2 linked regions of the Xenopus tropicalis genome follow. The protein of the gene in region 2 binds, or shares a complex with, the protein of the main gene of each other region. Links are inferred from orthologs where the notes say so. Each region holds a gene or a part of one and is shown on either strand. Other genes may lie near its edges.

What was found.
Region 1: qrsl1 (region 2) and gatc share a complex: the UniProt entries of both Homo sapiens proteins name them as parts of the heterotrimeric GatCAB amidotransferase (AdT) complex. The link is inferred for Xenopus tropicalis from reciprocal best matches to the Homo sapiens genes QRSL1 and GATC.

What each region holds. Positions count from the first base shown.
Region 1 is NC_030677.2:151,738,199-151,741,234, reverse strand, and holds gatc (glutamyl-tRNA(Gln) amidotransferase subunit C, mitochondrial), read right to left. Parts: upstream 1,866-3,036; 5' UTR 1,835-1,865; coding exon 1,763-1,834; intron 1,582-1,762; coding exon 1,534-1,581; intron 1,343-1,533; coding exon 1,173-1,342; intron 891-1,172; coding exon 787-890; intron 703-786; coding exon 641-702; 3' UTR 520-640; downstream 1-519. Other genes in the region: srsf9 (serine/arginine-rich splicing factor 9), read left to right, coding at 1-122; triap1 (TP53-regulated inhibitor of apoptosis 1), read left to right, coding at 2,088-2,234, 2,312-2,401. UniProt on the Homo sapiens protein: Allows the formation of correctly charged Gln-tRNA(Gln) through the transamidation of misacylated Glu-tRNA(Gln) in the mitochondria. The reaction takes place in the presence of glutamine and ATP through an activated gamma-phospho-Glu-tRNA(Gln).
Region 2 is NC_030681.2:79,129,303-79,133,232, forward strand, and holds the start of qrsl1 (glutamyl-tRNA(Gln) amidotransferase subunit A, mitochondrial), read right to left. Parts: upstream 3,010-3,930; 5' UTR 2,961-3,009; coding exon 2,937-2,960; intron 1,024-2,936; coding exon 864-1,023; intron 1-863. Other genes in the region: rtn4ip1 (reticulon-4-interacting protein 1, mitochondrial), read left to right, coding at 3,562-3,709. UniProt on the Homo sapiens protein: Allows the formation of correctly charged Gln-tRNA(Gln) through the transamidation of misacylated Glu-tRNA(Gln) in the mitochondria. The reaction takes place in the presence of glutamine and ATP through an activated gamma-phospho-Glu-tRNA(Gln).

The sequences.
Region 1 (3,036 bases), on a different chromosome or scaffold from region 2:
TCCGTGTGTGCCCAGAGAGAAATACCAGCTACTCCCGTTCCAGATCCCGTTCAAGAGGGCGTGATTCCCCTTATCAAAGCCGCCGCTCGCCTCGTTATGCTTCTCCCTTTCGACCGTACTAAGTTGCCACCATAGGGACACTTTCTATGAATTGAATTCTGAATCCCATCTACTCAGAACAACATTCCACGACTGATGGATTTCATCAACTTTTATACCATTTTTTTTTTTTTTTTTAAAGAAATGTTTTCTTGACATAAGGTGTGTGGTGTTTTTTTCTTTTAAGTTCTATCTTCAAGAAGGCAAAAGATAGTATTGTGCCTCCTAGGAAGAAGGGATGGCCTGATCTGAAATTGTGTTAAATGCGCTGTGCATAATTGCTATACTGGAACTAACAAGTAGAATGCTAATGGAACCAATGCAACCTTAAGGGAAAGTACATGTGTCCTACATATAGTTAAATGCCATCAGTATGTTAGAAAGGTATAGTTTGGAATAACTTTTTAATCCTCTTCACAATCAAGTTTGTACGTATGTTCCTTTTATTATGAAAGTGTTTCAGTTTAAATAAAAATAAGCATCTGTAGCTGTCCTAATAAACAGTAAGCTGTTATGCTGTTTCTATTCCGGTCCTTGATGTTCAGGAGCTGCTCTTGACTTCAGACAGACCTCTTTCATGCTGAGCTGGTAAAGGGATGTTACCTTTTATTAAGAGGAGAAAAGAGAATGAGGACATCTAATGGATCTATATTAATGTTTGTGGATATAAATATAAACCTTTAATACCTGGAGGTGCTACAAAATATTCCTCTACAACAGTTCTGGCATTTTCTAGGAGCAGTTCGGTACAATTTCCTGCAGCAACTGCATCATTTCTTATGTATAGGGTCCTGCAAAACACATTACAAACACTTGAAACTGCCTCTTCACAAAAAAGTATATATAAATCTAGCAGTAGTATCAAGCCTGTGCTGCTGCTCTATCATGGTAGCTAAATGATAACATATTAATTTATGCAGTATCTCTTAGTGATAAGTGTCAAGTAACTGGACTTGCTGAATAATCTTAAAACAGTTTACTACTAGGTAGTGAAATGTTCAAGATTACTTTGCAAGTCCAGTTGTTTTAGACTTATCATTGGGAGATATGGTTGAAGATATAGATTACATTACCTGTCTTCTAACACAGATGATAAAGGTTCCACTCCCTCTGTGTTGACATTGTGCAGCTGATCAGCAAACTGTATGGCCTTCTCAAGCCGCTGCACGCCTTCTACGTTTCCGAAATCCACTAATGCTAGCCGCTCAAGATGGTCAATTGTGTCTAGGCTAATCAGGGGTTTCTGAAAATTGGTAAAATGTATTATGTACGTGATATATAGTCTGTCTTTAGAGGTAGTTTTACATTTATATACTTTTCTTGATTAACATGACCTGGGAATAGAGCACACATGAACAGTAGGGGGCGCATAGAGAAACCGTAATACATAATTAAGTTATGCACTAAATTATAATCATGCATATGAGTGCGCACCTGGTTTCTGATCTCGGGTTGAAGGTCCCATGTTGGTTTAGGCGGTACCTATAAATTGAAAATAGCGACATCTTAATCCCCAACAGCGGTTTCTACTAGTTTGTAGTCCAGCAATAGCTGGAAGCCCGTGAGCTGGTATATCTACATAAGAATCCCGACTTCAGCGTCGTACAAGGATATTCGTTAGACTAAACCTTGACGCGCAGTGTCATTATAAGCTAAATGATACCTTACTCTGCGCCGACAACGAACGTCGGAAACCAGAAATCCAAGCGGTGCAGAGCGGCGCTCGGAACCACATTTTGCGCGGCTCTTTAATATGACGTCATATTAGAACCACCACCGTGCGTTTCTCCAGTAACCTTGATGAAGAGGTGATGGCGGCCATTTATAAAAAAAAAAAAAGGTTTCAGCCAATAGACGTGCTTGTGTTGTAAGATGACAGTCGCGACTCTGCCCTAGGACAAGATGGCTGCCGCGGCATCTCGCTCTCCGTAGAAAGATTTGCGAGGTGAAGAAATACCTGTGTTCGTCAGGAGTTTGTTGCGGGCAGCATGAACAGCGTGGGTGAGGAATGCACGGATATGAAGCGGGAGTATGACCAGTGCTTCAACCGCTGGTTTGCGGAGAAATTTTTAAAGGGAGAATGTAGTGGCGATCCGTGCACCGAGCTCTTCAGGCGGTATAGAGATTGTGTTCAGGTGGGTAATGCACTCTGTATAGTGATAATAACATGGGCATTTTATAGCAGCGCACTAATACCCTTTCCTTTATTCAGAAAGCCATTAAGGACAAGGACATCCCGGTGGACGGAGTGGACTTTATGGGGCCTAGTAAATCAAAAACAGAATCCGACGGCTCCTCCTGACCCAACGCGGGCCCCGGAAGAGAGTGGGCCCATAACGTCATATCCCCTGCACGCCTAGAAATGAAAAATACTTTTATAATAAATAACAAAGTAACAATCAGTTTGTACGGCGAGTATTTGCTGTCTTCATACATATATATTTGTGTGTTTAGGGGGTTAAGGTTAAGCACATGGTGTCTTCAGGGGATTAATTAGTAAAAATTGATCTTCACATTTCCGGCCAGGGGGAAGCTTGGTGTGTAAAGGGGTTTTATTGCTAAATCTCGAGGTGCAGCGCTGAACTAGAAATACAGACTGCAGCAAAACAGTGTACAGTGGGGTGTCCAACCAGAAGATATCCCTTATGTGCCCCCCCTTAGCAAAACAAATCAACCTCGGATTCTACTCTTTCACTGTATTTTTAACTCATTTTTGCTATTCCTGTTGCTGTTTTCAGCCTCATTGCAATTTTATTCTATATCATATGGTTGGCCTTTGTAGGTCATAGATTAACATGTATATTTGTGCTGAGAGCAATAAGAGTATGAGTATTCTTCATATACTTAAGGAGTCCATGGAGTATGTTTGTAAACCTACCATAGTGGAATTACTTGTATAGATTTGCTGGACCAAGTTTTTTGATACTCGTATATAAC
Region 2 (3,930 bases):
CGTGTTACTTAAACAAAACTGAGGAGCAGCACTGCACAGTTGCCTAATCTAATAAAATTTCAGAAGTTCTTGGTTTTGATCTTGTCCTTGGAAATTTTTTTCTTACGTTAGGCTTTTAAAAGTGACCAACTGTCACAGGCAAGCCTAGCCATTCAAAGTCTGTACAAAGTTAGCTAAAAAAAAAAATTACATTTGGTTGTGTGTCTAAGTAAAAGTGTAGGTTCTCAAAATAATAAGCAGTTCTAGATAAATGAAAAATGACGGACATATATGAAGGTAATGTATAGTAATAGCTCCCAAACTTTCTAAAGCACCTTCAGCAAAGGTTTCTCCCCCGAAAAACATAAACATTTAGGGGCACATTCATGAAAACGTAAGTTCGAATCCCGAATGGGATAAATTCGGATCGGATATGATAATTTCTTAAGATCGCAAATATCACGAATATGCTTACGAAAAAATCGTATTAGTCACGATAATATCGCATTGGCGATCTGAAAGTCACAAAATTTTCATATCCGAACGATCGTAAAATGCAGGAAAACTTTTCCGACTTTGATCCTTCTGTGCATGATTTTGGAAGCCTCCCATAGGAATCAATGGCACTGTGCAACTCCAACCTGGCCCAAGGGGTCACGATACCGAAGCTTGAATGAATCTGAAACTTGCGTACTTGGCGCGACAATACAATTTTGTCGCACAAATTTTGTTGCAAAGTACGAAAAAATAAAATAAGAAAAAGTCGCGCAGGTACGGAAAAGTCGCCGAAAATACGCTGAACGAACGCTCAGAGCGTTCGTGGATTAGTAAATGTGCCCCTTAGTCTGATACTGCCAATTTTGGTAATAACAAATAAAGATTACCTTGGATGAATCTCTCATCTGCTTCTGCTGCCTGCTTTAAGGCAAAGTCTTCAGTTACAGTTATGTAAGCATTAAGGAATGATGTTTCTTTGATAAAAGAAAGACACTTCTGGCACAACTCAGTAGGTTTTATTTGCCCAAGCCTCAGCGCAGCAGCTGCCTAGAAAAAAATTATTTTGTATATTATTTCCTGTTTGAAAAGCTAACACCTTTCGAGGACACTTTTGGTCTATGGATGTTTAAAACATATATAAAATCTGTGCGTGCACAGATTTTGATGCCAAACAAATAAAGAAATATGTGCGAACATACTTTATTTAGCACTTATTCAGGCCCAACTGAAAAATGCGTAATACAGGCACATGATCTATTATCCAGAATATGTAAGACCTCTGGTTTTGTACACTGGATCACCATTACTAAATAACATTTATACATTAATTAAATTTGATAGCATTGAATTGCCACCAATATAGGTTAATGCAGCCACGATCAAATACATAGAAAAAAAATCATTTTATAAAATTTGAATTTTTGAGCCCTGTGAAGCCCTCTCTTTTCTGTCCTGCTCCTCTGTAAAATCCCCTCTTAAAGGAAAAGGAAAGGTAAAAACTAAGTTAGCTTTATCAGAAAGGTCTATGTAAATACAGCCATAAGCACTCACAGAAACGCTACACTTAGTCCTCTATCAAAAGAAACAAGATTTCTTGTCTCTGTAATTCCTGTGAAAGAGTCTGCGCAGCTCTCTCCTGCTCCCCCCTCCCTCAAGAATGCTAATAACTCCCTCCCCCTCCTTAGGAATGCGTGATCTGAGCCAATCAGCAGGAAGCTGACTCATCGTCTTACAAACTGAGCATGTACAGGGGTCTTGGCGCAGGAGTGTGTCATTATGGGAATTTTCTTTACAGAGCTCAGTGTTTTTCTTTCCTATGAGGCTTCTGATCATGAACAGGAGAAATATGGGGAGACTTAAGGGCACTATTGAGAGACCTGAAGGTATGCCTGCAGTTTAAGATAAACTCTTTATTAGCCTTTTATTCTCCTCATGGCTAGTTAGCAGTTCATTGTGCATGCTGCAAGGCTACACATGATGAATCAGCTCAGTCTGCCACATGCATCTAAATGAATTACTAATTAACCATGCAGGATATGGAATCAATATATGGCCAATATTAAAGGAGAAGGAAAGGCTAATAAAGAATTAATCTCAAGCTGCAGGCATACCTTCAGTTGTCTCAATAGTGCCCTTAAGTCTCCCCAAATTTCACCTGTTCAGAAGATCTGAAGCCAAACAGGAAGAAAAAATGCTGAGCTGTGTAAAGAAAGTTCCCATAATGCCTCACTCCTGCACAGACACCCAAGTGAACATGCTCAGTTAGTAAGACTATGAGTCAGCTTCCTCCTGATTGGCTCAGATCCACATTCCTAAGGGGGGGTGAGTTCTTAGCATTCTTGAGGGAGGGGGGAGCAGGAGAGAGGAGAGAGCAGAAAGCTGCGTGTCTGGCACAGGAATTACCGACACAAGAAATCTTTTCACAGAGAAGTCAGTACAGTGTTTCTGTGAGTGCTTATGGCTGTATTTACATACACCTTTCTGATAAAGCTTACTTAGTTTTTACCTTTCCTTCTCCTTTAAGCCCTGCAACCCTAGCATGGCCTAGTGGCGTCATTGTGTCGCTTCAGATGTCCCTGAATGCCCACTGTGCATAGGCCCTTCCATGGCACCACTTGCTTACAGCTCTGACAGCTTCATCTGTCATTCCACATACAGGCACAGTGCATTGGCAGATGAAGGGCCCTTGGTCCAGGAGGTCAGATACTGTGCAGGATTGGCTCTGTAAACAAACACTATTAAAATAAAAAGGACTGCTTCTTTGTGACACATCTAAGTTAATAGGTTTAAATACAGAATGTGGCCATAGCGATATATTTCAATTCATCACTTTTCTTTAAGAAAAGAGTTGTGTCTAGCATTTAAATTGAAACTCTCCTGTACAGTCCAGGTGTATTTTACCATATCGTACAGTTCCTTTTCCGCTCTCTAATTACGATGTGTACTCTAAGCTCACTCACCTCCCGTAAACTCATTCCCAGCATTTTAACCTTTAACTGTCACCGGTTTGTAAAGTGTACAGCAGACATGAAAGGCAACCAAAGAGTCTTGAAACTACCGGGAGCTGCCATGTGTTGATTGGCAAACACGTATAGAACTAAAGCCGAGGGCAGGTATTGGCTAGCCGCTGAATTATCACTGTTTCCATTTGACGAGAGGGACGAGGCTTGGAACGCGGAAGCTAATAGAGGACACGGGGAAAAGAAGACTTGTAGCAGCAAAGAGAGGTTAATTGAATAACAACTGCAAAAAAGAGTAGCGATCACGACATCGGGCATCATTAGCAATAGAATAATGACTATATATTTGGATATTATTAGTTGTTGACGCATTATGCCTGCATAGATTTCTACAATCATAATTATGAAAATCTTTTGAATACGTTTTCTACTGCAGTATTAAGTGCACGTAGCATTTACTAGCTTTACTGCTGTACCTCTGCCGAAAATGATTAACATTGTTAGATGGCACCTAATTAGTGGAATTAAGAGCCACAGATTCGGTGACCCTGGAATCTTTAAAACTGCGAAACAAAGATGCTCGTGTGTTCAGGAATTCAGCACTTCTCTAAAGAGAAATCTAGTCATGCCTGCATGGGTTATAGACAAGTATGGGAGCAATGACGTGATGCGTTTCAATAGCAACATGGTATTTCCTGTCATCAATTACCCCAATGAAGTCATCATTAAAGTACACGCTACAAGTTTAAATCCAATCGATGTTAATATGAGAAGTAAGTTGCTTGTTACTTATAGAAAACGTTTTCCATTTTCTACTTTGTACAGTGCCTTGCATAAACAGTTACCAACCTTAGACACTACAACATGTTGGTGTGTAATATCCTTGAATGAAACATTCTTTTAATTGGTATATTTACCATAGATTTACACAGTATAATTAGCACACACATAAAAACTGGAAAATATATTTTTATTGTGACAAGAGCTAGTCAAG